Callithrix jacchus: one gene and its partners. The protein of the gene in region 3 interacts with the protein of the main gene of each other region in a pairwise test. Links are inferred from orthologs where the notes say so. Each region holds a gene or a part of one and is shown on either strand. Other genes may lie near its edges. The genes, in order: SF3A3, ASNS, TRIM69, MAGEA4, IYD and NEK8.

Region 1 (4,519 bases), on a different chromosome or scaffold from region 3:
CTTTTACATTGAAAATTCTACCTGAGGCTGGGCGTGGTGGCTCATGCCTGTAATCTCAGCACTTCGGGAGGCTGAGACAGGCAGATCACTGGAGCTTAGGAGTTTGAGACCAGCCTGGGCAACATGGCAAAAACCTGTCTCTACTAAAAATATAAGAATTAGTCAGGTGTGGTGGAGTGCCTGTAATCTCAGCTACTTGGGTGGCTGAGGCAGGAGAATCGCTTGAACCCAGGAGATGGAGGCTGCAGTAAGCCAAGATTGTGCCACTGCACTCCAGCCTGGGCAACAGAGCGAGAGTCCATCTCAAAAAACAAAAAAAATGAGGGCCGGGCGCGGTGGCTCACGCCTGTAATCCCAGCACTTTGGGAGGCTGAGGCGGGTGGATCATGAGGTTGATACCATCCTGGTCAACATGGAGAAACCCCGTCTCTACTAAAAATACAAAAAATTAGCTGGGCATGGTGGCAGGGGCCTGTAATCCCAGCTACTCAGGAGGCTGAGGCAGGAGAATTGCCTGAACCCAGGAGGTGGAGGTTGCGGTGAGCCAAGATCATGCCATTGCACTCCAGCCTGGGTAACGAGTGAAACTCTGTGTCAAAAAAAAAAAAAGAGAAAGAAAGAAAAATCCACCTGAGCTTTCACTTTTCCCTTCAGATCTGTGTGCCAATGTCAGTGGAATTTGAAGAGCTCCTGAAGGCTCGAGAGAATCCAAGTGAAGAGGCACAAAGTGAGTAGAGGTGAACATTTCATTCAACACCAGCAGCAGTTACAGGTCATGCAGCCATGGCCTCAGATATTGATAACCAGGTTTTCTTGTTGGTTTTGTCTTTGCTGCTTTCTGGGCTAGAGTGACATTCTAAATTGGTCTTGGGCAAAATGTTTCTTTTGTTCTCTCCTACCTAAAATTTACTGGCTTGGAAAGCCAAGCATTATTCACTTTAGTTCACAATACTAAAATGAGTCAGCCCATGTTACCTTGTAAGAGAACACTCACTTTTGATCTCACTTATTGGAGGTTATATTGTGAGCACAGGGAGGATATTTGGGTGACATGCTGCCTCAAGAAACTAGGAACAAGCAGTCCATTTGAAAAGGTAAGTTCAAGAGAGTGGTCTGTAGAATCTGAATCATTGATGTATTTGATTCCCTCAGACTTGGTGGAGTTCACAGATGAAGAGGGATATGGTCGTTACCTTGATCTCCATGATTGTTACCTCAAGTACATTAACCTGAAGGCATCTGAGGTAAGACCTGGGAGAGGAGAGAGAGATTCTGATTCTAGAGGTAAGTCAGGACACTAGGCTGGGACTGCTAGACGTGAAGCCATTGTAGAGTGTCTTGTGTTTTCAAACTGTTATGTAAATAATATCAAAGAGGTGATAATGAAATACTATTCAAAATGAAAATTTTCTACAGTGAAAACATTTATTAATAAATTTTATTTTTATTTTATTTTTTTTGAGATGGAGTTTCGCTCTTGTTACCCAGGCTTGAGTACAATGGCGCGATCTCGGCTCACCGCACCCTCAGCCTCCTGGGTTCAAGCAATTCTCCCGCCTCAGCCTCCTGAGTAGCTGGGATTACAGGCACGTGCTACCATGCCCAGCTAATTTTTTGATTTTTAGTAGAGACGGGGTTTCATCATGTTGACCAGGATGGTCTCGATCTCTTGACCTAGTGATCCACCTGCCTTGGCCTCCCAAAGTGCTGGGATTACAGGCTTGAGCCACCACGCCCGGCCAATAAATAGTATTTTTTTATTTTGAGATGGGGTCTTACCATGTTGTCCAGTCTGTAATGCAATGGTGTGATCTTTGCTCACTGCAACCTCCACTTCTGGGCTCAGCCTTCTGAGTAATTGAGACTGAGACTACCACCACACTTGGCTAGGTTTTTTTTTTTTTTTTTTTTTTTTGTAAAGATGGGGTTTTGCAGTGTTGCCCAGTCTGGTCTCAAACTCCTCACCTCAAGTGATTCTCCTTTTTCGGCCTCCCACAGTGTTGGAATTACAGGCATGAGCCATTGTGCCCAGCCCATTATCAATACAACAAGTTTTGTTTTTTTTTTTTTTGAGATAGGGTTTGTTTGTTTTTCTTTCTTTTTTTTTTTTTTTTTTTTTTTCTGAGACAGAGTTTCCCTCTGTCACCAGGCGCCAGGCTGGAGTGCAGTGGCGCAGTCAATCTTGGCTCACTGCAACCTTCGCCTGGGTTCAAGTGATTTTTCCGCCTCAGCCTCCCGAGTAGCTGGGACCACAGGTGCGTGCCACCACGCCCGGCTAATTTTTTGTATTTTTAGTAGAGACGGGGTTTCACCATGGCCAGGATGGTCTCGATCTCTTGACCTTGTGATTCGCCCACCTTGGCCTCCCAAAGTGCTGGGATTACAGGCGTGAGCCACTGTGCCTGGCCTAAAATTCTTATTTTTAAAAATAATTATCACGTTCCTGTTTTAGGTACGTGGAAGATAAAACAACTTGATCTTTCTGTCAGCAAAAAGCTATTTAATGTCTTTTCTTAAAGATGTTTAAACATAGCTTATCACATTAATGTCTTTTCTTAAAGATGTTTAAACATAGCTTATCACAAGAGATGAGGTTTAATATGACAATATCAGAAGAGTCACCAGGAAATACATGATTAGATTCTTCATGGAGTTGTGAGGAAATGTCCCAGAAGTACAGTGCCCAAACTTGAAGTTCCATGGGGGCAGGTCAGGTCCCTTGTCTGTTTTGTTGTCTTCTATACCCTGTACTTGGTACAAAGATGCTCAATAAGTGGTTACGTGTGTGAGTAAATGGCAACTTTCAGGACCTTACTTTAGGATATTAGAGTCTTTAACCAAGAGCCCAGCATGAGGTAATGATCAACAAATGTTTCCTTTAGTTTACTGTTTATTAATGTGATCTTTATTTTGTAAAGTTAATTATGTCTGATATTTGCCTGATATGTTTATTTTGTAAAGTTAGTTATGTCTGATATATTCCTACTTTATTTTGTAAAGTTAATTATGTCTGATATTTTACGGTCCAGTGAAATTAACACTCCAAATTGTAGTAGGATTGAATTATGGGAAAGCAAAAAAACCAAAATGGCCAGCCCTTGTTACCTTGTTAGAAAACACTCAATTTTGATCTCACTTAGGAGGTTATAACTTGTTCCAGTATAAATACCTAACTAAATTTTGTATCATTTCTTTCCTCTTTTCAGAAGCTGGATTATATCACATACCTGTCCATTTTTGACCAATTATTTGACATTCCTAAAGAAAGGAAGAATGCAGAATATAAGAGGTAGGTGTTAAGAGCTTCTATGCCTCTCCTGGATTTGATTAGAAGACAGTGTGAAGGTTTTGAGGGTGAAGTTACGAATTAGTTGCTTGGAAGGCATACATGAAGGCGTACTTCCTTCATACATGAAGGTTTATTGGAGGCTAAGGATTATAAATGATGTGGTTTTAAAACCTTCGAGATACTCTGGTTGTGGGCAAGGGTGTATCTGTGGACATATCTTCTATCTTATGCCCATACTGTTCTTAATTTTGTCTCACTGTAGAAGGAACTCTCCCACTCTGGGACTTCTGTGTTTTTGGAGTTTAATGGGAAAAAAATTAGACTTTCTCAGATTGTGACTGGAGTGAGATGCTTGGGTATGATGTATAAGTGAAAAATGTATGTTTTTGTTAGTTGCTCCCCTTATTAGTGATTTTATACCCTTTCTCTCTTTTTCTTATTTTCATTTTCCTGAAATATTTTCTGTGCGAGATTAGCATTATTTCATGAGAATAAAAGGAGGTAGGAAAGGTCAGAATCAAAATGATATGTCAAGAAAAAAGTCCGTTATAGGTTCATTTAAAAATGATTATTAAAAAATACTATTACTAGAATTATAAGTACTATTTATTCTACAGGGAATATAACAAGATACCAAAAATATAAACCCTTTTTGCTTTCTCTTTGTTACGTGTTCCTCTGTAGATACCTAGAGATGCTGCTTGAGTACCTTCAGGATTACACGGATAGAGTGAAGCCTCTCCAAGATCAGAATGAACTTTTTGGGAAGATTCAGGCTGAGTTTGAGAAGAAATGGGAGAATGGGACCTTTCCTGGATGGCCGGTGAGCTACAGTGGGGTGTGAATGGTGGACATGCCAGGGAATTGAACTGATTATTTTCCTTTATCTTGAGCTTCCACTTTAGGGCATTAGGTATCAATTCCTTGGTATCATTTGTGACCATGAGGTATTCCCTGCCGAGTATGCTAGGTTTTTCTGTGTGTACTTTGGAGCAAGATTATCAGGGCCCACTTGCCTTGGACTGTGCCCAGATTTTCGCCAATCATATCATTACTGCCATGTGGTTTCTGCTTACCAAAAGCTTATTCAATCATATGTTAGGAATCTGTATTCTTGCTTGTGGGGATAAACCTGAGTTTTTCCTGAACTCCCCAGGCAGGGAATGTGGACCAACTTTACCTTCATCCTAAACCTGTTTTGTTTTTTTGTTTTTTGGAAGCAAGTTTTCC
Region 2 (5,175 bases), on a different chromosome or scaffold from region 3:
CGTGTCTGTGTGTGTGTGTGTAGGCTGAATCACTGGTCTTCTATTTGTGGCTAAATAAATATTTTGTTGGAAGAGTAAAGAGTTCCCAGTTCCATGGGATCTACAGTTCTATAAAATGAATATATACATATTCCATGTAAATATTTCACAACAATAATTTCACTACTAAAATTGTGAAATAGTAGTGAAACAATATTTCATTACAATAATTTTACTACTAAAATTGTGAAATTTAATAGTGAAACAATATTTCACTACTAAAATTGTTTTAAAATTAAAACACTTTTAAAATTTAATTTGTGTGTGTGTGTATGTGTGTTAGACCAGAGATTGGGGGGTGGGTCTCACTATGTTTCCCAGGCTGGTCTTGAACTGCTAGCCTCAAGCCACCCTCTTGCCTTAGCCTCCCAAAGTGCTGGATTTATAGGCATGAACCACTGCACCCAGCCTCACTTTTTGTTTTAGCAGATCCTACAGTGAGAAAGGAAGTAGCATTGTGATAGCGTAGCTAGATAGGGAGCAGTTCCGGAATGTGAAGAAAGGAGGTGTGGGAAGGGTCAGTCCACAGAAGCTGTGGCCTTCAGGAGAAAAGCTTTGAGGTCAGGGAGCCAGGTGGGTAAATGAGACTACTCCATCCCTTTTGTATCTCCTTGAAATGTCTTTTTTTGGCCACTCTCCCTGAAAGAGGAGGGCAAGGGAGCGAGGACAGAAAGTGAGGTAGAGAAGAGTGGTGCTCTGGAGGGACAAGCAGGAGATACGCAGCACAACGAACCACACTAGATAACACATCAAGTAGGGGAACCTGTCTTCCACTACACAGGCTACGTGCTATGGGACATGGGCTCTGGGTTTACACAGATTATGGCTCAGTTCTTTGCTGTTGTGAAGCTGTGTTTGGATAAATCCCTCAGCTTCTCTGAGTCTTATTTTTTCATTTGTAAAATGTAGACAGAAGACCTACTTTCCCTCATTGCTTTCAGGTTAAAAATGCATCAATTAGGATACAGCAAAGTCTGTTTGATGCTGAAAACTTTCCAGCAAGAATGAACCTGAGAACAAGTCATCGCTCATCTTTGCTCTTGCCTGTAACTGCTAAGCATCTACTCCATCTTCAGTGCTTAGGGATTTTATATTGTTGGCATTTTTGATTTAGTCAGGAATGCATTGTATGGGAATATCAAACCTGCATGCTTTCCACACATTGACTGTAGTCTGATCTTAGTAGGTGGTGCACATATAATTTTACTATTTCTCAATTTATTTTGGTGCTGATGTAATTAGTAAAATGCGATTTAAGAGTGTTATATATATTTTTAATCATGATGTCTTTTCATAAAAGTGATACTTAAAAGCACATCATCGTCTTGTGGAGGCACGTTGACAAAATTCTTTTTTGAGATTCTACAAGGAATCTTTGTACTTAAAATGTTTAAGAACCACTGATATATTTTGGCTTCACGTATCAATTAGATTTAGATTTTATTTTGTTTTAGAGATGGGGGTCCCACTTTGTTGCCCAGGCTGGAGTACAGCTCACCACAGCCTCAAGCTCTCCGTCTACCTCAGCCTCCTGAGTTGCTGGGACTACAAGGGTGTGCCACCATTTTTTGTAGAGATGTGATCTCACTGTGTTTCCTAGGCTAGCCTTGAACTCCTGGTTTCAAGTGATCCTCTTGTCTTGGCCTCCCAAAGTGTTAGGGTTACAGGCGTGAGCCATTTCGCCTGGCCCTCCGATTTATTAATAGATTTTATAAGGACATTTTAGGCCTTACCCATCAGTTTCTTAGGGCAAGCTTTTCTCTGCAATTCATAATAAATCAGACGGTAGTGCAACGGAAAACGGAGATGATTTCCCTAGAACAAACCATGTGCAGAAGACTCCCTGGTGGTTAGAACAGCAGGTAACCTGGGCAGATCTCTGAAGCTATCCTTAAACTGACGCACCGGAAACAAAAGAACTCCTCCTGGAGCATTCTCGCCGTCCTGGCTTAGTCCGCACCCGCCCGGCAGCCCCGTGGGCCCCGCCCCTGCGCGCGCTGGTTGGTTCTCGCCGGCTGATGAAATTTCCCATACGCATTACAGGAGCCAGACCAGTATAAGCGCCGGTAGCTCCTCCGCCCGGCACGCCATACCCCGCCCGGCACGCCGTCCGCAGACCTGGCGTCCGCAGACCTGGCGTCCGCAGCCCGCATCGCCCTGACCCGCTTGCGCCCAGGTGAGACGGGGCCCCGCGCCCCGCGCAGCACCCTCCTCGGGGGCTCTGGGGCTGCCCTGGGGGAGGAGGATGCGCTCTGTCGCCTGGCACCCGGCGGACGGACGCGCTTCGGGTCGGCTGATGCTGCGTCTCTGGCAGTAGAGAGGGTGGGGTGGACGCCTAGCGATTGTTGCGCACCTAGCGGCAAGCCGGTGCAGAAGAACCTCTGTGTCTTGATCCCTGAGGCATCAAGGGAACCGCGGCCGGAAGACTGGGCCGCTCCGTAGAGGGAGCGGCGACCTGAGCCCCTGTAGATGTTATATGTGTACTTTTTTTTTTTTTTTTTTTTTTTTTTTTTACTATGTGGCATTGAAGCCCGTGGACATTTTCCCGGTCCAGGACCGCTGCGGAAGAGCGGGTTGGAGCCTCCATGTGGCCGGGGCGCAGTCGCGTGTGCGTGGTTCTGATCTAGGAAGGAGAAACTGTGCTTTCCCTTTCAACTGCCCTGCTCCTCACCTGGCCTCCCTCACCATGCCTCCTCCCCTCTCACCCCATCTCCCCTCCAGTCACCACGCCTCTGTAGACTGCAAGACTTGACAAGTGACTTGCTGAGCAAACTCGGCCGAGAGGCAGTCTGTTTAGGGACACAGAAGGCCAAGTACAGAAAAAGGCAAAAGGACTAGCATGCCTGTTTCAATGGATGTCTATTTTACAGGGCTGACTTCAGGTTATTGTTAAAGCTTTAAATAAAAGGACAGTTTTCATCTCGGCCTGTGGCCTACATTATTTCTTTACTGTCCATTACTCTGGGCGCTTGGCTGATAATTTAACAGCAGTGTTTTTTTTTCTTTTTTCGTTTTTTGTAAATCGTGATTCATCGCATTACTGAAAGAGTAATTAGAGGTAAAGTAGGGCTTGAACCTTTCTATAGTTGGTTGCTTACTGAGATCTTAACATAAAAGTAAGTTGAGAGGGTGAAGTTTTAAGTAGCACTAAGTGGAATAGAAATGAAATGTACTGAAACTGCAGTGTCCAATTCGGTAGGCGCTAGCCACCTGTAACTGTTGAGCACATGAAATGCTGGCTGGTCCGAACTGAGATGTGTTGTGTTAAATACAATGGATTTTGTCGTTGGAGTAGGAAGAACAGTGTAAAATAGCTCGATAAGTTTTTATATTGATTACATGTTAAAGTGATACTATTTGGGATATATTAAGTATGTTTAAAATTAATTTCACCTTTTTCTTTTAATGGGGCTACTAGTATATTTAAAATTACATATGTGGCTCACATAATTATTGGATAGCACTGCTCTAGAAGTTTACGAAGAAAAAAGAAAAATATTGAGAACAGGTAGCAGCAGCAGTAGGAACTTTGCCCTCCTCTAAGACTGATTCCAATAAAAAATAAGTTATAGTTTTAATTGGCTTTTTCCCACTAGAAAAAAATAAGTGTACTTTACATGCCTCTTTGTTCTCCCCCTTTCCCCTCCAATTAGTGGTTAGCAGGCTTAATATTCACAAGCAGTGTATTCTGTGATGACCACTTTTGATTTTCAAAGCGCTTTCCTAACCCATTTTTAATTGGTATATAGTCAAAGGCAGATGACTTATTAGTAGTCATCCCATTTAAATCTCGTGGAGTTTTCCCACTAAATCTGAAAGTAAAGAATTTGTTATAGGCTATTTGGTCAAGTGCATGGAAGGGACAGTGTAGGATGTGTGGCATTTCATTTCCAAATTGCTTGAGATGATTTTCATTATAACCATGTATTATTTGGTTCTGGTTTTCTGGAAAAGCCAGCCAAACCTTTGGTTCATTTAGATAAAAATGAAATATCCTCAAAGTGACTTACGTAATTTGAATATGTATTTTTTCCTTAGGGTGCCTATCCCAAATTATCTGGGCATTTACTGCTATTTGCAGTTTTTAAAAAGAAAATATCAAAATTGTTATTTTTTTTAAGTTAGAGATGTTTTAATAAAAATGGCCATTTTGAGCTGGTAGTAGTCAAATAAAACAGCCCTTTATTTCACAGTTGAGAATTTGAAATTGGAAAATAATTAATGTATGTAAGGGTGATTTATTTGCTTCCTGGCTTATAGGGAAGAGCCAAGTTTTTTTTTAGGGCTGTTGCTGCTGTATATGTCCTATCTACTTTGTTTCCTTACTGAACATTAAACTTTGAGACAGAAATATTTGAGGACATTTTTTTCTGTTAGGATATTTTGATAGCAAACATTTTGTATCTTCTGTCAACCTAAAATGTTTTACTTGTTATAAAGCCAGGATATCTGATATCAAATTAAATTCCTTTTATTTCCCCTTTAGACTTTCTTCAATAACATCTGGATACATCATTTAGAGGTAAACTAGATATAATATAGTGAAATGCTTAAAAGAGCTGTGCATCTTAGTATTACAGATAGTAATCTGTAGTTTTTTTTTTCCTTTAGACTTTCTTCGGTAACATCTGAATACATCATTTAGAGGTAAGCTAGGTGTAATATACTGAAATGCTTAAAAGAGCTGTGCATCTTAATATTACAGATAGTAATCCTAGTATTACAGCAGTATGATTTTCTGTTCTACTCATTGTATTCTACCTGCAGCTACTTCAAGTAAAGAGAGGGTATTTAACTGTCAAGGGAACCTGAGAGGAGACTCTAGTAATCTGAAAGTCTCTTGGATCTTTGAGGGATTTTGGGATGGAGAGAGTGGGGCTGGGATCTCTGGCTAGGTAGGAGCCAGCCTGCATTTGTTTCTGTATCTTGGAAGCAAACTTCGATTGCAGAAATAGATGTGGCCTGGATGTTGCTAGCTCTAGCCAACCACTAAGGTGGGAGAGATGCAGGCTTTGGCTGGGTGCTAAGCTGCTGTAGCTGGTTGGATATAGAGGTCACTATCTTTTCTGAATACTTGTAGGTAAATTCAATCATTCTCTACTCCCATGGGCCTGTCAACCTAATGGGAAATAGCAA
Region 3 (4,519 bases):
CTGAGTCAGTCTGGGCTAATTCTATTTGGTATTCTCAGGAGGAGCTTGCCACCCAACAGGGTCAACTGGAGGCAACTCTGAAGGAGCTTCAGTCCCTGAGGAAGAAGCAGATGGAAGCTATTGTTGCTTGCAAGGTGAGGAGCAAGATAGAGGGGTTATGAGAGAGAACTGGAACACACCCTCCATGTAACTTTAGAACTGGAATACACCCACCATGTACCCAAAAGGAATATGGTGGTGGAGTAGGTTCCTAATAGCTGCTCAACAGAGCAGATTAACCTTTCCCCTAATATGCTGATCTTTTTGATGGTTCATTTACCAGGTAACTGTTGTGGGGTTGAAATCTGTCTGGTTTTTGGGTTTATATATGGCAAAAGAAGGAATTTACCAGAAAAAAAATCACTAAAGATTGCTATGTCCAAAGAAATACCCTTCTTTCTTTTGAGTTTATAACCAGAAACCTCTAGACCTGTGTCTCTATGGTTGTAAGCTTTTTCCATCTGATTTGATCCTTCTTAGCTTCCTCCAAACTAAATAAAGCTATTGTCTGCACTTTCAACTTCATAGGCACTCTAAGACAACACTAATGGCTACAGATTTCGCAAATCAGCCCCTAAATTGGCAGTGCTAAATTGGAAGTTCTGTTTCTTTATTAATTATTCTATGGAGAAGAGCCTTTCAGGTATTTACCATCTGGAAGAAGAAATATGTAGAGTCAGGGAAAGAAGGAGGATATGTGGAAGTAATGATGTCTTTAGGGAATCTTGTTCCTGTTGTAAAAGTTCCTATTAGTGTCAACATTCATTCATTCATTCATTTAACAACTATTTATTGAGTGGGTCAAGCATAATACTAGAGACTGGGGTTGGGAGACAGATGTTAATCAAACTCATCAGTATAAATAAAATAACAACTGTGATAAGCACTATAATGAAAGCATAGGGTATGATGAGAGCATATAAATGGAGAACATAGTCTAGACTGACTTTTTTGTTTTCCAGGTAAAAATTATACTTTTAATCAATTGCGGTTCAAGTCAAATGTTCAGAATCATAACAGGCCAGAAAGGTTTGATCCCAAGCACAAGCCCACGAGGGAGGGGACCAACACAGACCGAAATGAGACAACAACCCCATATAAAAAGATGAATGTGGCTTTGCACACCCACACACAGACACACACACACGAGTGAAATGTCTGGACAGAGGCAAATTTCACTTGGTTGTTTCCGTTTCTTTTTAAATACAGGTTTGTGGAGTGGTATTTTGTTTTTTCCAGCTATTAAAAAAAAGGCCCAAAAGTGCATTGGAAAATAAGCAATAAAGCCATTTTCCCTGGAGGGACACGAGAGGGAGGAAACAGGAGGCCGTGCTGGGAGAAAGCAGTCTGTCACCATCGGGCTTCTGGTTATTCTTATGATTGGTCCACAAAAGTTCTCTGAAGAAGTCACTTACTAAAAATTGGGAATTGAATGATAAGTAACTTAGTGAAGTGAACTGGGTGAGTGAGAATATGAAGGAGGTGGCCTGGAGAAGAATGTTCTAGGAATAGAAAAGAGCATATGAAAAAGTCCTGAGACAGAAAGTTAGCTGCTATGTTAAATAGAGAAAAGGCCAATAAAGCTGGAACTTGCTAAGCAAGATGATATTGAAGAGGTGGATATGGGCTCACTGTAACTTCAAACTCTTGGGCTCAAGAGATCTTCCCACCTCAACCTTCTGAGTGTCTGGGACTAGTGTGCCATACCTGGCTAATTATTTTATTTTTGGAGAGATTGGGTCTCAGTATGTTGCCCAGTCTTGAACTCCTGTTCAAGCAATCCTCCTAGCTTGGCTTCCCAAAGTGCTGGAATTACAGGTGTGAGCCCAGCCAAGACTATCTTAAGGGTGCAATAATAATTATGGACCATGGAATCCAAGCTAGATAAGAGAAGACATGAAGGTAGAAGTTCCTGAATAGAAATGAAGGGGTTGGTGAACAGGAGGTTTCAATGAGATCCAATAATTGTTGAAATAGGGGTCTCTGAGTGAGCTTGGTGCATAAAAAGTTATTTTGGAGATGATGCAATTGCTGGGGGTGATAAAATCCTTTGTGAGACTACGGGAATGAATCAATAAAGGTGAAAATCACTAGAAATGAGGAGAATGAGGAACTGAGAAGCCAGGACACCAAATGGTTTACCTGTGAGGATGTTGAGGTCACTCAAGAAAAAAGCTATAAGTGTACCAGTTATCAATTTCGGCACTTCAGAAACATCTGAAGTGCTTCTTTTATATTGTCCTTGTAGCAGGAGTGGCATTCCCCCAGTTCTGATTTCTAGGTAAGGATAGTTCTTCCAGACTCCCAATGACCCCAGTCTAATAGTACCACTTGGCAGCTAATGGTTTACCAATCTAGGAGACTGTTATCATCCATTCTAGAATGTTCGATGAACTTCACAGCCCTATTTAATATGGCCCTGGTTACCATCTCATTATTGCAATAGGAACCTAGAGGCTACTTTTGACTATTTCACCCTGAACTATTAAATTAGTTGGAAAAGGAGTAAGTCTCCCAAAGGACTCATTTTAATGTGGTTGAATTTGATTATCAGTAGACAGTTGTATGCATTTTTTCTGTAATGGTTTTTCCCAAGTGTGTGAGTGTTGGTGGTGTGGGTTCCCCATCCCCAAGCACTAGTCTCTATAATAACCATGGTAATAATCATGGAGGTTTCCAGGAAAACGAGCTATATCTGCAGCAACATGTGTCCACGGAGTTTCTAAAGCTGCATAAGTTCCTAGACAGCAAAGAAGAGAATATTTTAACTGAACTCCAGGAAGAGGGGAAAGCCTTAAATGAGGAGATGGAGCTGAATCTGAGCCACCTTCAGAAGCAATGTGTCCTAGCCAAGGATATGTTGGTGAGCATTCAGGCAAAGATGGAAGAACAGAACTCCTTCGACTTTCTCAAAGTGAGAATCTATACCAATATGATTATGGGTACCTTCCTACCTAGATGGGGGAAGAGGTTTGGAAAGAATGCAGAAGTGGCTTTTCCCAGTAAGGGAAAACAAAAGGAAACAAAATTGCTATAGTGCTTCTAAGATTCTCTGGAAGAAAAGCAGGAAGGCACTTCAGCTATATGCACAGCAAAAGCTTTACTTTTATCCTCTAGGAAATAAGATTTTAAAATCCCATTAATAATAGTATATATTAATAGTTTAATATTTTTCCATCAAGAGCCTGACACTTTATTTCTGAAAAATAAAAATGTTGCAGCATGAATTGTATCTCTGGCTCTCAGTAATCATAAGTTGACTGGTCTGAAAAGCTGTTTTGTATCCTTTGCTTTCTTTTTTTTTTTTTTTTATCCTTTGCTTTCTTAAGCTTCACCTCTAAAGCGACATTGGTTACCATCTCAGCATTCAGAAGTTTAATTAGCTACAGTAAGGAAAAGTGGCCTTGGGACTGGAATACTTACTGTGTTTTTCCTCTGAGACTATTTGAAAGTATAGGTAAAGATAGCTTAACCTTAAGTGTTGTACTATTGGCTTCTGTCTTGCTCCCTGTAGAGGGAACTCTAGAAAAGCAAAAGACCAGTTTAACCTGGGTTAGGATCAGGGATGAAGATTAGAAAAAGTGTGTGAAGAATAAGAAGCTGGGAGAGATGATAAGTTGGGGACCATCTGCACAAATCCTGGTGGTGGCTAGTATTACCAAAGGAAGTTTGGGAGCTGATGAACAGGCATCTGATGTCTCTCTTTCTCCTTTCTTCTAGGACATTGTACCTCTCTTAGATAGGTAAGTGCTTTCCTATGGTACTCTCAATATCCTTCCTTGAGTCTCTGGAGGATGTCTAAGGATAAATGATTTATGTCCCCTGCAGCTTGAAGCAAGGAATGAGCGTGCTGGCAACAAGAGAGCTTATTTCCAGAAATCTGAACCCGGGCCAGTACAAAGGTCCTATCCAGTACATGGTATGGAGGGAAATGCACGACACTCTCTCTCCAGGTATCAGTGGGTAGTAACTGTTGGTTCTTGGGGCTCCTAATCTATGTTTAATCTGTGGGATCTTTTCTGTGGCCCTAATTAGGTTTTTACAGTCTGTGATAGTGGAGGGGTAGAGTTTGGACAAAAGGAGACTAGTTGGTATGACTGAATTTCTTCTAGTGTCATGACCTAAGAATTTATGATTTTGTGCTGATTAACAGATAAGAGTTTGATATCAGGATTGCTTCTTAGCCTATGATTTTGTTTGACTGTTTTATGAAATATGGCAACAGACAAAATTTTATGTTGCTTTGCTAAATCAGCTATATGGATCCCTGGGGTTTCTCTGCTCTGAAGAAGGAGGTTTCTTACATGCTCTTTGTATGTACACTGGGTCTTTATAGTTTCTTTTGTGCTTGATTATTGCAAAGAGCATTTTAGAAGACTGTTTAGATTTTCAGTGCTTCAGAAGAAAACCAATAATTTCAATAAATGTACCTAAAAAGGACACTAAGTTTTTGTGTTCCTGCAGATACCAAAGGACTGAG
Region 4 (4,979 bases), on a different chromosome or scaffold from region 3:
TGCAAGACTGGTGGGGATAGGCTCTGCCATGAATTAACTGCAGGATCCCAGGAGAGGGCTCTGAGTCCCCCATTCCGTCCCCATTCCCCAACCCATTTTTATTCCCATCCACCCTCCCATCCCGCACCAGTACCCCCATTCTCTCCAGCCCCTACCAACGTCATAATCCCATTCCCCCACCCCCAACCACGCAGCATCCGGTTCCACCCAGGTGCCCGGATGTGACGCCACTGACTTTCGCGTGGGGGCGGGTTAGAGAGAAGCGCAGTTCTTGGTCCGACCAGCGGTTTGGGATTGACGGAGAGAGGCGGGCAACGCTCTGTTAGGAGGTAAGGTGAGACGTAGAGGGAGGACGCAGGAGGTCCCCTTCCCCGGTAGACGACTCCAAATAATCTCTTACCACTCCGGCTGCCAGCCCTCGGCCACCCGTGGGTGGACTGCTTAGTGGGGGAGGGGCACCACCCCTACTGCCGTTGAAGCCACAGGGGACTCGGGACTCAAAGAACTTGGCGTGGTCAATGCAAGACTGGTGGGGTAGGCTGTGCCAGGAATTAACGTGGGGATCCCAGGAGAGGGCTCTGAGTCCCCCATTCCCATCCCCTTTCTCCAACCCATTCTTATTCCCATCCACCCTCCCATCCCGCACCAATACCCCCATTCTCTCAAGCTCCTACCAACCTCATAAACCCATTCCGCCACCCCAATACCCCCACCCCCAACCACGCCGGATCCGGTTCCACCCAGTCACGCCCAGATGTGACGCCACTGACTTGCGCATGGGCGGCGGGTTAGAGAGAAGCGCGGTTCTTGGTCTGACCAGCAGCTCGGGATTGGGGGAGGCAAGCGGGCAAGGCACTGTTAGGAGGAATGCTGAGACGCTGAGGGAGGACTCAGGAGCTCCCCACGCGAGATAGATGACGCCAAATAATCCATTACAACTCTGCTGCCAGCTCTGGGCCACCCGTGGCTGGACTTCTGAGTGGGGGATGGGCACCACGGCCACTGTGGTTGGAGTCACAGGGGTCTCGGGACTCAAAGGGCTTGGCGTAGTCAGTGCAAGATTGGTGGGGATAGGCTCTGCCATGAATTAACTGCAGGATCCCAGGAGAGGGCTCTGAGTCCCCCATTCCGTCTCCATTCCCCAACCCATTTTTATTCCCATCCACCCTCCCATCCCGCACCAGTAACCCCATTCTCTCCAGCCCCTACCAACGTCATAATCCCATTCCCCCACCCGCAACCACGCAGCATCCGGTTCCACCCAGGTGCCCGGATGTGACGCCACTGACTTGCGCATGGAGGGTGGATTAGAGAGAAGCGTGGTTCTTGGTCCGACCAGCAGCTCGGGGTTGACGGAGAGAAGCGGGCAAGGCGCTGTTAGGAAGCAAGGCGAGACGCTGAGGGAGGACTCAGTAGCTCCCCACCTTAGATAGAGGACCCCAAATAATCCCTTACCACTCCTGCTGGCTGCCCTGGGCCACCCGTGGGTGGACTTCTGTGTGGGGGAGGGGACCAGTCAGAGTGCCGTTTAAGCCACAGGGGACTCGGGACTCAAAGGGTTTGGCGTGGTCAATGCAAGACTGGTGGGGGTAGGCTCGGCCAGGAATTAACTTCAGGATCTTAGGAGAGGGCTCCGAGTCCCCCATTCTGTCCCCATTCCCCAACCCATTCTTATTCCCATCCACCCTCCCATCCCGCACCAGTACCCCCATTCTCTCCAGCCCCTACTAACCTCATAATCCCATTTCTCCCACCCCCAACCACGCAGCATCCGGTTCCACCCAGGTGCCCGGATGTGACGCCACTGACTTGCGCATGGGGGGTGGATTAGAGAGAAGCGTGGTTCTTGGTCCGACCAGCAGCTCGGGGTTGACGGAGAGAAGCAGGTAAGGCTCTGTTAAGAAGCAAGGCGAGACGCTGAGGGAGGACTCAGTAGCTCCCCACCTTAGATAGAGGACCCCAAATAATCCCTTACCACTCCTGCTGGCTGCCCTGGGCCACCCGTGGGTGGACTTCTGCGTGGGGGAGGGGACCAGTCAGAGTGCCGTTTAAGCCACAGGGGACTCGGGACTCAAAGGGTTTGGCTTGGTCAATGCAAGACTGGTGGGGGTAGGCTCGGCCAGGAATTAACTTCAGGATCTTAGGAGAGGGCTCCGAGTCCCCCATTCTGTCCCCATTCCCCAACCCATTCTTATTCCCATCCACCCTCCCATCCCGCACCAGTACCCCCATTCTCTCCAGCCCCTACTAACCTCATAATCCCATTCCCCCACCCCCAACCACGCAGCATCCGGTTCCACCCAGGTGCCCGGATGTGACGCCACTGACTTGCGCATGGGGGGTGGATTAGAGAGAAGCGTGGTTCTTGGTCCGACCAGCAGCTCGGGGTTGACGGAGAGAAGCGGGTAAGGCTCTGTTAAGAAGCAAGGCGAGACGCTGAGGGAGGACTCAGTAGCTCCCCACCTTAGATAGAGGACCCCAAATAATCCCTTACCACTCCTGCTGGCTGCCCTGGGCCACCCGTGGGTGGACTTCTGCGTGGGGGAGGGGACCAGTCAGAGTGCCGTTTAAGCCACAGGGGACTCGGGACTCAAAGGGTTTGGCTTGGTCAATGCAAGACTGGTGGGGGTAGGCTCGGCCAGGAATTAACTTCAGGATCTTAGGAGAGGGCTCCGAGTCCCCCATTCTGTCCCCATTCCCCAACCCATTCTTATTCCCATCCACCCTCCCATCCCGCACCAGTACCCCCATTCTCTCCAGCCCCTACTAACCTCATAATCCCATTCCCCCACCCCCAACCACGCAGCATCCGGTTCCACCCAGGTGCCCGGATGTGACGCCACTGACTTGCGCATGGGGGGTGGATTAGAGAGAAGCGTGGTTCTTGGTCCGACCAGCAGCTCGGGGTTGACGGAGAGAAGCGGGTAAGGCTCTGTTAAGAAGCAAGGCGAGACGCTGAGGGAGGACTCAGTAGCTCCCCACCTTAGATAGAGGACCCCAAATAATCCCTTACCACTCCTGCTGGCTGCCCTGGGCCACCCGTGGGTGGACTTCTGCGTGGGGGAGGGGACCAGTCAGAGTGCCGTTTAAGCCACAGGGGACTCGGGACTCAAAGGGTTTGGCGTGGTCAATGCAAGACTGGTGGGGGTAGGCTCGGCCAGGAATTAACTTCAGGATCTTAGGAGAGGGCTCCGAGTCCCCCATTCTGTCCCCATTCCCCAACCCATTCTTATTCCCATCCACTCTCCCATCCCGCACCAGTACCCCCATTCTCTCCAGCCCCTACCAACGTCATAATCCCATTCCCCCACCCCCAACCACGCAGCATCCGGTTCCAGCCAGTCACACCCAGGTGCCCGGATGTGACGCCACTGACTTGCGCGTGGGGGGCGGGTTAGAGAGAAGCGCGGTTCTAGGTCAGACCAGCAGCTCGGGATTGACGGAGGGAAGCGGGCAAGGCTCTGTTAGGAGGTAAGTTGAGACGCTGAGGGAGGAAGCAGGAGGTCCCCTCCCCAGATAGAGGACCCCAAGTAATACATTAGCACTATTGCTGCCAGCTCTGGGCCACCGTGGGTGGACTTCTGAGTGGGGGAGGGGCACCACCCCCATTGAAGCCACAGGGGACTCGGGACTCAAAGAGCTTGGCATGGTAAATGCAAGACTGGTGGGGGTAGTCTTTGCCAGGAATCAACGTGGGGATCCGAGGAGAGAGCTCAGAGTCCCACATCCGTCCCCATCCCCCAACCCATTCTTATTCCTATCCACCTTCCCATCCCGCACCAGTACCCTTATCCTCTCCAGCCCCTACCAACCTCATAATCCCAATCCCCCACCCCCAACCACGCAGCATCCGGTTCCACCCAGTCACACCCAGGTGCCCGGATGTGACGTCACTGACTTGCGCGTGGGGGGCGGGTTAGAGAGAAGCGCGGTTCTTGGTCTCACCAGCAGCTTGGGATTGGGGGAGGGAAGCGGGCAAGGCTCTGTTAGGAGGCAAGGTGAGACGCTGAGGGAGGGACGCAAGAGGTTCCCGTTCCAGATAGACGACCCCAAATAATCCATTAGCACTCCCTCTGCCAGCTCTGGGCTACCTGTGGGTGGACTTCTGAGTGGGGAGGGGCACCAACCCCACTGCCGTTTAACCCACAGGGGACTCGGGAGTCAGTGTTTGGGTTGGTCAATGCAAGACCGGTGGGGGTAGGCTCTGCCAGGAATTAACGTGGGGATCCCAGGAGAGGGTTGAGCCTCCCCCATTTCCAACCGCATCCACAGCCCATTCTTATTCCCATCCACCCTCCCATTCCCCACCAGTACCCATATTCTCTTCAGCCCCTACCAACCTCATAATTCCAATTCCCCAACCCAACACAGACGCCCATCCACGCAGCATCCAGTTTCACCCCGTCACACCCAAGTGCCCGGATGTGATGCTACGGGCTTGCACACGGAGCGGGGGTGTTAGAGAGAAGCGCGGTTCTTGGTATGACCAGCAGCTTGAGATTGGCAGAGAGAAGCTGGCAAAGTTCTGTTAGGAGGCAAGGTGAGATGCTGAGGGAGGACTCAGGAGGTCCTTACCCCAGATTGATGACCCCAAATTGTCCCGTACGATTCCTGCTGCCACTCCTGGGCCACCCATGGGTGGACTTCTGTGTGGGGGAGGGGCACCACCCCCACTGCGGTTTAAGCCACAGGGAACTCGGGAGTCAGAGTTTGAGCTGGTGAGTGCAAGACTGGTGGGGGTAGGCTCTGCCAGGAATCAACGTGGGGATCCCAGGAGAGGGCTCAGAGTCCCACATCCGTCCCCATCTCCCAACCCATTCTTATTCCCATCCACCCTCCCATTTCCCACCATTACCCCTATTCTCTCCAGCCCCTACCAACCTCATAATCTCATACCCCCAGCCCCATCCACGCAGCGTTTGGTTTCACCCAGTCACTCCCAGGTGCCCGGATGTGATGCTACTGACTTGTGCATGGGG
Region 5 (5,306 bases), on a different chromosome or scaffold from region 3:
CATCAAATCAATGGTCTGTGGAGCCTGATGCTTCCATAACAAACTTTACTTCTAATCTTTTACAGAGTTCTCTGGCATTAGAGAACCAGTATGACATACATTTTAAAAAACAGCTGTCTATCACGAAAAGGAGTATTACAATGCATAATAAAACAAAACCATCAAAATGACTGTTGAAATAAATAACATATATTCATTTATAAAAATAGCTAATATATTTACAACAGCTCAAAATTCTGAAATTATGGAATAGTATTCAGTAGAAATTCTCTCACTCTTGTCCCCCATCTATCCAGTTTCCACACTCGCTCCAAAACAAGTAACCACTGTTCTTGTAACCCTTTATTTTGAAATAATATAGACTCACAAGAAATTGAAAAATTAATAAAGAGAATTCCTGATATAACAACTCTTTAAAGTTTAGAGTATACTCTTCCAGGAAATGTTATACATATACAGGCTTGTATAAATGTGTCATATTTTCTACTTTTTTTATTCAAATGGCATCGTATTATACATACTTTTGTACTTTGATGCTAAAGACTGAATGTGTTTAATAAAAATTGATATGTTGGAGCCCTAACCCCCAGTATAATGGTATTGGAGGTTGGGCCTTTGGGAGGTGAACAGGTGATGAGAGTGGAGCCCTTATTAATGAGATGAGTGGCCTTATAAGAAACGAGAAGAGAGAGATGATCTGTCTCCACTCTCCACCATGTGAGGTTACAGTAAGAAGGTACCTGTCGGCAGACCAGAAGGAGAGCCCTCACCAGGAGCTAATTTTCCAGCACCTTGATTCTGGACTTCTCAATTTACAGAACTATGATAAATTTATTTATTTATTTATTTATTTATTCTTTCTTTCTTTCTCTCTCTCTCTTTCTTTATTTCTTTCTTTTTTCATTCCTTCCTTCCCTCCTTCCTTCCTTCCTTCCTTTTTTGTTTCTGAGGGAGTTTTGCTCTTGTCACCCAGGCTGGAGTACAGTGACACAATCTTGATTCATTGCAACCTTTGCCTCCCAGGTTCAAGCTGTTCTCCTGCCTTAGCCTCCTGAGTAGCTGAAATTACAGGTGCCTGCTACCATGCCTGGCTAATTTTTGTATTTTTAGTAGAGAAGGGGTTTCAACAGGTTGGCCAGGCTGGTCTCCAATTCCTGACTCAAGTGATCTGCCCCCTTCTGCCTCCCGAAGTGCTAGGATTACAGACATGAGCCACCATGCCAGGCCAAGAAATAAACTTCTGTTGTTTAAGCCACCAGATCCACAGTATGTTTGTTACTTCAGCCGTAATTGACTAAGGCATTTACTAAAACAGACAAACAAACAAACAAAAAGCCTTACTGAAGTTATTATATAAATAATGAAGTTGTCACTTTAATTTTTTTGTGTCACATTTCCTAGATCAAAGCTTTTCTCTGCTGCAAAACATGATATTCTCCTTATTTCATATATTGGCTCACGTATCATTTAAAAAAAATCAAAACCCTAGGGCTGCGTTTCACAAACATGCTATTTAAAATGAATTTTACCAAACCTCTTTTTTGAACATTTTCTTCCAGCAGATCTGATTTGGTGGCGTGATCCAGCTAGATCTGGCATGTGCAAGTTCTTACTCAGATTCTGGCATTGCTGCCTAAGAAGATGGTGCTTGAGTATGTAATTTTAAAAAGTGAATGCCCTGGTGCATGACCAAAGCCACAACACCCCACACATGGGACTGTGATCTTTGTTCCTTGGCAAAGTCCTCATAGAGTTAAAGAGTTCTGCACTTTGTTCCTTCCCTGGCACAGCTCTCTCTGCATTCCTTCCATCTCCCGGCATTCTCTGTTTCTATCTCTGTGTGTTTAAAAACCAGTGTGGGAAGTGTGCACCCCTGTGCATCAGACTCCGAACCATGTTTTTCTTGACTCCCGTCTTGGTAGCCATTCTCTGCATTTTGGTTGTGTGGATCTTTAAAAATGCTAATAGAAGCATGGAGAAAAAGAAGGGGGAGGCTACAACCAGGGCCGAGGCTCGCCCCTGGGTGGATGAAGACTTAAAAGACAGCACTGACCTGCACCAAGCAGAAGAAGGTAAAGACACTGGCTATGCTGCTTAGCTTTGCTGTCATGTGTGTTGCTGATGAGTGTGAGTCAACGGCAGGGCTTATGGAGAGGAAGAAACACAGACCAGCTTCAGCATCAACTTCTAGTGTGCTAATGAATCAGTGCCTGGCACAGACAGATCATCTCGCGCCAGTAATGAGCTTGTCACCTGCTGGCACCAACCTTTTTTTATTTTGGATGCTCAGTGAAAAAGCTGTTGAGAAGCTGAAATTTTCCCTGGCTCCAATTCTGTTCTGGTTGTTAAAACCTTCCTGCAGGGATTCATCCCAGGCTGGTAGTGGGCAGGGGGCAAAGTGACCGGGTTTTGATCAGAAACTGAAATCTACCAAGTGGCATCACCTAGGAGGCTGCTACCTTTCCCTTGCCAGACCCTGGAAGTGAAAGACTGGGGTGGTCTCTGTTCTCAACAAACTGAATGTCCAATTCAGCTGCCACGATGATGCATGAGAATCAGAGACAGTAACAAAGAGACAGACCCGGTGGAACTAATTCTGAGGTGTTTGGAGCAGGCCTGGGAATTTGATGGTGCAGTCAGGGAAAGGACAAACCGGGTTGGGAACAAACAGCAAGTGCTGAGAGGCCTGTCAGGCAACAAGGGGCAAAAGGAGCAAAAGCAGCGGGAGGCCTGGAACGGGGATAAGAGAGGAAGTGGAGAACCAAGGGCAGGGGGAGGGTAAGAACGGAAGTAGTGAACTGAGGGCAAGAGCTACCTGCCTCCTTCATCAAGAGTTAATGAAGGAGGCTGGTAGTAAGGGAGAGACTGTGGAGGAGGATGAAGGAGGCAGGTAGTAAGGGAGAGACTATGGAGGAGGCTTGAGCCATCTGTGTCTGAGAAGCTTTGTCTGGGATGGGTTCAATTTGGAAGAGCCTCCATGATCCTCAGCTGGGCGAATGATGTCCCCATTCCCAAACAGAGGCCACCTGGACATGTGTGTGTGAATGTATGTGTGAGTGTTCATGAATGTGCATGTGTGTCTGTCCATAAGAGTGTGTATGCTTGAGTGTATGTGTGTGTGTGTGCATGCATGTGCATTTGAGTGTTCATGAATGTGCGTGTGTGTGTGCACAACTGTATGTGTGTGCAAGTGTGAGTATGTGAGTGGGAATGTGAGTGTGCATGTGTGTGTGAGCATGCATGAGTGTGTGTGAGCATGAGTGTGTGAGTGTGTGTCCTAATCTCAGGACTGGGACAAAGGGTGTCCAGCTGGTCCTCAGTGCTAGGATCCTGTAGGGCTGAATGCACCTCTTAGAGGTCCAGCCTCTCAGCAGGGCTCCTCTTATTCTCTGGAATTGAAAGCTCTTCCACTCAGAATGCCAATTCGGCCCAGTGAAGAAGCACTTTCCTTAATCAAGGGGACATGTGTTGTGAAGCTGGGTAATGGTTTGTGCTGGGAAGGATGGCCCGGATGTGGGGGCAGTGGGAATGCAGTGGAAGGGATGGATCAGAGTGAAGTTAATGGAAGAGCAGCAGGGTTTGCTAATAGGTTGGATGGTGGGAAAAGGAGGAGAGTGGGAGAGTTGGAGGCTGGGATGGTGTCATAAGTGGGTGGGAGAATGAGGATCCTGCTTAAAGAGGAAAATGTTGAGTTCCATTGAGGACATGTTTGATTTGAGATGACAGTGACACATCTGAGCAGAAAAGGGAGAGAGCAGCCTAGGTTAGGGGCCCAGGCCACAGACACTGATTGGAGAGTCAGCAGTATGGGGAAGAGACTTGGAACCTGGAGAACTAATGAATTCACAAAGTGGGCATTGCTAGAGAGAAGGGTGGGAATAGAACTTAGGGGACACCTGCAGTTAAGAGGAACTGTGGAAGAGAAATGTACTAGAGAAAGGAAGAAGCTGTGGGAAACGGGGCTCTGGGATTGTAACAATAACACGCCCTTATGTATATTAATAGCACTTACTTATGTATATTAATGAGAGCCACATTTTATGTGCAGTCAATCATTTCATCTTCATGACAGAGCAACGAGGTAGGCACTATTAGAATCCCCATATTATAGATAAGGAAACTGAGGCCCGAATAGGGTAAGCCCAGGCAGGTGATTGCAGAAACGGGACCCAAGCAGTCTGGCTTCAGGGTCCAGACACGTAGCTGTTTGCTGGCTGCCTCTCCCCTGGGAGAATGACCTAGAATGGAGGAGGCAGGAGACAGCCAGCAGGGGAAAACATTCTCTCAGAGCCTAGCAAGAGTGTGCATTGAGGAAAGGCCACTAGATTTGAATACCTATGAGGTTTGAGGACACAAGAGCTTGGGCAGTCTGTTGAGGGTCAGGTCCTGGGGCTGGACCTGGAGGCTGAGAACATAGAGCAGGATTAAAGGGCCTTTCTCTGGTTCTCTGCGTGATTACTAACTTCTGCAAAATGTGTTGCCTCTTCATTCTCTGTTCCTTTTCATCCTTATCCTTCTCTCTCTCTCTCTCTTTGTTTCTTTTTCTTTTCTTTTTTTTTTTTTTTTTTGAGACAGAGTCTTCCTCTGTCACCCAGGCTGGAGTGCAGTGGAGTGATCTCGGCTCACTGCAACCTCTGCCTCCTGGGTTCAAGCAATTCTCCTGCCTCAGCCTCTCAAATAGCTGGGACTGCAGGCACATGCCACCCACCTGGCTAATTTTTTTTTGTATTTTAGTAGAGATGGGGTTTCACCATGTTGCCTAGCTGGTCGTGAATTCCTGAGCTCAGGCAATTTGCTGGCCTCAGCTTCCCAAATTCCTGGGATTACATCATGCCAGCCTCATTCTTCTCTTCTCTTTATACAGAAGAATGAATGGGACAGCCTTAGTGTCTTCTTTAGCAGCTGGGGCAAAGTCTGGCCTGTGTGTGTCATCCACAGATCTCTTGTATGGGGAATCTAATAGTGCCTACCTTGTTGTATCGTTTTGAAGATGAAATGATTTACTCCACCTCTCTTACATTGTTTACATAAGTAGTGCATGCTAAGGTCACACAGGTGACTGGTGAGAACCAGTGCTTAAACGCAGGCTTTCAGGCCCCCAAGCCCCTGCTCTCAGTCACAGGGCAGGTAGACATGGTCTATGTGGGGATCTTACTCTAGGTCCAGAAGGGATTGAGCAGGGGCTAACTGGAGAAGAGAACAGACTCCTTTACTGAAGACACATGGAGATGGTGCTGCTGACTGCAAATAGATACCAGATTCAAACCATTTTTAACATTAACAAGACACTAAATGGTAAAATAAGT
Region 6 (4,519 bases), on a different chromosome or scaffold from region 3:
GAGGGCTTTTGAAGCTGCGGTGAGTGTACACACCCTCTAGGGGACAACTGGGAAATCTACCACTTCCCCAGCAGCCCTCGCTCCCGCCACCTGGGGTTTCTCCTCTGGCTGGTTATGTTTCTCCCTTTTCAGATTACCCCAGGGAAGAGCTATGGCTATGCCTCAGACTATGGATTTCTAAGAGTAGGTCTTGCCTCCCATTAGACTGAGGGCTCCTGAGGGCAGGGCTGTGGCTCTCCCAAGGGACCCTCCCAAGAGTAAGACTTGAGTTTTCCCAGCATCCTGGGGCTTCTGAGACATAGCTGTAGCTCCCCTGTCAGACTAGGGGTCACTGAAAGCCAGGTTGGACTCCCCTAGCGGTCTGGGAATCACCTCATCAGACTGAAGTCTCCTGAGGGCAAAGCTGTTATCCCAGGAGACCAGGGGTTGGGGCTGGGGGGCGCTGCCCTCACTTCACCAACTTCCCAACCTGGTGCCCTCACAGAACCTGCCAGCCCTGGTGCTGAAGATCATGAGCGGCACCTTTGCACCCATCTCTGACCGGTACAGCCCCGAGCTGCGCCAGCTGGTCCTGAGTCTACTCAGCCTGGAGCCTGCCCAGCGGCCCCCACTCAGCCACATCATGGCACAGCCCCTCTGCATTCGTGCCCTCCTCAACCTCCACACCGACGTGGGCAGTGTCCGCATGCGGAGGCCTGTGCAGGGAGAGCAAGCGATCCTGGGCAGCAGGGTGTGGGCACCCAATGGGAGCACAGGAGGCCTGGGGCAGAGGGGCACCTGGGTGAGTCCTCCCTCCCTGCAGGTAGGAATGTCAGGAGAGTCTTTGTTCTTAGGCCCCCGTCTGTCCCGCAGGGTGGAGAAGTCTGTGACCCCTGGCAGCACAGGGAGCAGGACCACCAGTGTCCGCTGCAGAGGTAAGTGGGAAGAAGCCGTCAGTCCCCATAGATGGCACACCATTCACATCAGTTTAATAGTCCCCATGCACTGTACCCACAGGTGTCCCCCGGGGACCTGTGAGGCCAGCCATCCCACCACCACTGTCGTCAGTGTACACCTGGGGTGGTGGGCTGGGCACCCCCCTGCGGCTGCCAATGCTCAACACAGAGGTGGTCCAGGTGGCAGCTGGGCGTACGCAGAAAGCTGGCATCACACGCTCTGGGCGTCTCATCCTGTGGGAGGTGAGCAGGCCAGTGGGGAGGTGGCCTGGACAGGTGGAAGTGTAGGTCCACAGAAGGGTTGGGGTGCTCAGGCACTGCCCATCCTCCCGCCCCTGTAGGCCCCACCCCTAGGTGCAGGCGGAGGCACCCTCCTTCCTGGGGCAGTGGAGCAGCCACAGCCCCAGTTCATCTCGCGCTTCCTGGAGGGCCAGTCAGGCGTGACCATCAAGCACGTGGCCTGCGGGGACTTCTTCACCGCCTGCCTGACGGGTGAGACTTGGGCCTACCTCGGGGTGGGGACCTTCTATAAGGCCCCACAGAGCACTGTCTCTCTTCTCTTGCAAACCATTTACTTAACGAATGCTTTCACTAGTCATCAAGCTATTGCTTCTTTCTAGTAAGTGTTGAGGAGATTTCCTTACACTACCTCCTTGATCCTATGGACAGGCCTGCCAAAACAGTTATAGTATCCTCATTTGACAAGTGGGGACATTAAGGCTCAGAGAGGGTGTCACTTGTCCAAAGTCATATACATTTGAAGAGACTCCTATCCTTCCTCTCTTCCTATCCCATCTTTCCAGCCCTGGTCCCCAACTTTATTTTGTTGCTGCAACCCCCTGGTGGACAGGGCTATCTGGAATGACTGCTTAACTTCTCTTCCTTCTCCTTCCTCACGGCCCTCCTCCCCAGACCGAGGCATCATCATGACCTTTGGCAGTGGCAGCAATGGGTGCCTAGGCCATGGCAGCCTCACTGACATCAGCCAGGTGGGTATCACATGTACCCTGGGGAGGGGGAAGTTAGGGGATGGCAGGGAGCCCACATCTGAGAGCTGACACCAGATTGGGGACAGGGGAGTTCCCAGCAGCCACAGGTTCCTCTAGCTTCCCGGCTGCACCTGCTCTACGCCGCCTACATCAGGGGAAGTACAGAAAGACCAGGCTGCCCCAGTGGTTGCCCACTTGGCAGTGCGTGTGGCTAGAGTTAAAGACACAGCCACCTCCGGAGAATGCGCAGCCTCCAGCTTTGTCCCTACAGGGGGTGTTGAGGCCAGATGGTTAGTCTAGACCCTTTGCCCAGTCTCTCCTTACTTCCTCTCCTCTTTAGCCCACCATTGTGGAGGCCTTGCTTGGCTATGAGATGGTGCAGGTGGCCTGTGGGGCCTCTCACGTGCTGGCCTTGTCCACTGAGCGAGAACTATTTGCGTGGGGCCGTGGAGATGGGGGTAAGCTCCAGCCTCTAGTCTCATCTCACAGTATCCTCAGCCATGACTTGTTCCCCTTCATACTTCCATCCCACAGCCCATTATCTCCTCCCTCTTTTCTCTCAAATTCTCTTCATTCATTCAGCAAATCTTTATTTTACACCAACTATGTGCACACCCTGTGCTAGTGATGAGATGAGATGCATATGTGGCTTCCTTCAGGTGTTTATGATGTAATGAAGGAAATTTCATTCATCTACCTTTTTTTTTTTTTTTTTTTGAGACAGAATCTCACTTCTTCGCCCAGGCTGGAGCACAGTAGCACAATCTCGGCTCACTGCAACCTCTGCCACCTGGGTTCAAGCGATTCTCTGCCTCAGCCTCCCGAGTAGCTGGGATTATAAGTGCCTGTGGGCCGGGCACGGTGGCTCACGCCTATAATCCCAGCACTTTGGGAGGCTGAGGCGGGTGGATCACGAGGTTAAGAAATCGAGACCATCCTGGTCAACATGGTGAAACCCCGTCTCTACTAAAAATACAAAAATTAGCTGGCATGGTGGCGTGCGCCTGTAATCCCAGCTACTCGGGAGGCTGAGGCAGGAGAACTGCTTGAACCCAGGAGGCGGAGGTTGTGGTAAGCCGAGATCGCGCCATTGCACTCCAGCCTGGGTAACAAGAGCGAAACTCCATCTCAAAAAAAAAAAAAAAAAAACTATAGGTGCCTGTGACCACGCCCGACTAATTTTTGTATTTTTAGTAGAGACAGGGTTTCACCATCTTGGCCAGACTGGTCTCAAACTCCTGGCCTCATGATCCACCCACCTTGGCCTCCCAAAGTGCTGAGATTACAGGTGTGAGCCACTGTGCCCAGCCATCTACCTATCTTTATTTATTTATTTATTTATTTAATATAAAGACGGGGTTTCACCATGTTGGTCAGGCTGGTCTTGAACTCCCGAACTCAGGTGATCTGCCAGCCTTGGCCTCCAAAATGCTTGGATTACAGGCGTGAGCCACCACACCCAGCCATACCGATTTTTATTGAGGTCCCTTTGGGTCAGGCATCAGGGTGGGCACTGAAACTAGAGATGACATTGATGGGTTCCTGTCTTCCTGGAGGACTCAGTCTAGTTGGGGAAAGATGACGTCTCCAGCATGCCAGAGAACAGATAGCATCAGGGCTACATACCAGGTGCAGAGGTGTGGAACTCAGTGAACAGTGATGTCAACTGGAGGAGAGAGATGGCACCTGAACAGGGCTTTAAAGGAGGATTTTGGCCAGGTGCTGTGGCTGACACCTATAATCCCAGCACTTTGGGAGGCTGAGGCAGGCAGATCACCTGAGGTCAAGAGTTCAAGTCCAGCCTGGCCAACATGGAGAAACCTTGTCTCTACTAAAAATATAAAAAATTAGCCAGGCATTGTGGTGGATGTCTGTAATCTCAGCTACTCAGGAGGCTGAGGCAGGAGAATCACTTGAACCCAGGAGCTGGAGGTTGCAGCGAGCTGAGATCTTGCCATTGCACTCCAGCCTGGGTGACAGTGAGACTCGGTCTCAAAAAATAAAAATAAAGAACAGGCTGGGCGTGGTGCTCACACCTTTAATCTCAGCACTTTAGGAGTCTGAGGCAGGCAGATCATGAGGTCATGAGATCTAGACCATCCTGGCCAACATGGTGAAACCCCATCTCTATTAAAAATAAAAAATAATTAGCTGGGCATGGTGGCGCATGCCTGTAATCCCAGCTGCTCTGGAGGCCGAGGCAGGAGAATCACTTGAACCAAGGAGTTGGAGGTTGTAGTAAGCTGAGATCATACCATTGCACTCCAGCTTGGCAACAGAGTGAGACTGTCTCAAAATAAAGAAGGAAGGAATAAAAAATAAAGGAGGATTTCAACCAGCAGAAAGTCCTAGGAAAGGCATCTTGGGCTGAGAGAACAGAAAACTCACGCCGTTCCCTCCCCTCAGTGGGCCCTCCTCATCCTGGCATCACCCCCTGCTAAAGCTCAAATTAACCCCTTCTGGGCTTCTTCTTACAGGGAGACTGGGACTAGGCACCAGGGAGTCCCACAGCTGCCCCCAGCAGGTGCCCATGCCCCTGGGACAGGAAGCTCAGCGAGTTGTATGTGGCATCGACTCCTCCATGATCCTCACTGT

What was found.
Region 1: the proteins of TRIM69 (region 3) and SF3A3 interact in binary tests that used the Homo sapiens proteins (3 or more experiments, as listed by UniProt). The two-hybrid records come from large-scale screens. The link is inferred for Callithrix jacchus from reciprocal best matches to the Homo sapiens genes TRIM69 and SF3A3.
Region 2: the proteins of TRIM69 (region 3) and ASNS interact in binary tests that used the Homo sapiens proteins (3 or more experiments, as listed by UniProt). The two-hybrid records come from large-scale screens. The link is inferred for Callithrix jacchus from reciprocal best matches to the Homo sapiens genes TRIM69 and ASNS.
Region 4: the proteins of TRIM69 (region 3) and MAGEA4 interact in binary tests that used the Homo sapiens proteins (3 or more experiments, as listed by UniProt). The two-hybrid records come from large-scale screens. The link is inferred for Callithrix jacchus from reciprocal best matches to the Homo sapiens genes TRIM69 and MAGEA4.
Region 5: the proteins of TRIM69 (region 3) and IYD interact in binary tests that used the Homo sapiens proteins (3 or more experiments, as listed by UniProt). The two-hybrid records come from large-scale screens. The link is inferred for Callithrix jacchus from reciprocal best matches to the Homo sapiens genes TRIM69 and IYD.
Region 6: the proteins of TRIM69 (region 3) and NEK8 interact in binary tests that used the Homo sapiens proteins (3 or more experiments, as listed by UniProt). The two-hybrid records come from large-scale screens. The link is inferred for Callithrix jacchus from reciprocal best matches to the Homo sapiens genes TRIM69 and NEK8.

Annotation. Positions count from the first base shown.
Region 1 is NC_133508.1:74,555,626-74,560,144, reverse strand, and holds part of SF3A3 (splicing factor 3A subunit 3), read left to right. Parts: intron 1-654; coding exon 655-727; intron 728-1,152; coding exon 1,153-1,244; intron 1,245-3,206; coding exon 3,207-3,289; intron 3,290-3,973; coding exon 3,974-4,112; intron 4,113-4,519. UniProt on the Homo sapiens protein: Component of the 17S U2 SnRNP complex of the spliceosome, a large ribonucleoprotein complex that removes introns from transcribed pre-mRNAs.
Region 2 is NC_133512.1:51,799,465-51,804,639, forward strand, and holds the start of ASNS (asparagine synthetase [glutamine-hydrolyzing]), read left to right. Parts: upstream 1-2,069; 5' UTR 2,070-2,215; intron 2,216-2,758; exon of another isoform or gene 2,759-3,097; intron 3,098-4,525; exon of another isoform or gene 4,526-4,561; intron 4,562-4,650; 5' UTR 4,651-4,686; intron 4,687-5,175.
Region 3 is NC_133509.1:32,468,048-32,472,566, forward strand, and holds part of TRIM69 (E3 ubiquitin-protein ligase TRIM69), read left to right. Parts: intron 1-38; coding exon 39-134; intron 135-2,719; coding exon 2,720-2,953; intron 2,954-3,759; coding exon 3,760-3,782; intron 3,783-3,867; coding exon 3,868-3,992; intron 3,993-4,519.
Region 4 is NC_133524.1:148,211,293-148,216,271, forward strand, and holds the start of MAGEA4 (melanoma-associated antigen 4), read left to right. Parts: upstream 1-1,806; 5' UTR 1,807-2,853; coding exon 2,854-2,924; exon of another isoform or gene 2,925-4,540; intron 4,541-4,979. UniProt on the Homo sapiens protein: Regulates cell proliferation through the inhibition of cell cycle arrest at the G1 phase. Also negatively regulates p53-mediated apoptosis.
Region 5 is NC_133505.1:157,223,579-157,228,884, forward strand, and holds the start of IYD (iodotyrosine deiodinase 1), read left to right. Parts: upstream 1-1,875; 5' UTR 1,876-1,894; coding exon 1,895-2,072; intron 2,073-5,306. UniProt on the Homo sapiens protein: Catalyzes the dehalogenation of halotyrosines such as 3-bromo-L-tyrosine, 3-chloro-L-tyrosine, 3-iodo-L-tyrosine and 3,5-diiodo-L-tyrosine.
Region 6 is NC_133506.1:104,870,027-104,874,545, reverse strand, and holds part of NEK8 (serine/threonine-protein kinase Nek8), read left to right. Parts: coding exon 1-19; intron 20-484; coding exon 485-914; intron 915-996; coding exon 997-1,178; intron 1,179-1,276; coding exon 1,277-1,427; intron 1,428-1,847; coding exon 1,848-1,924; intron 1,925-2,264; coding exon 2,265-2,382; intron 2,383-4,401; coding exon 4,402-4,519. UniProt on the Homo sapiens protein: Required for renal tubular integrity. May regulate local cytoskeletal structure in kidney tubule epithelial cells. May regulate ciliary biogenesis through targeting of proteins to the cilia.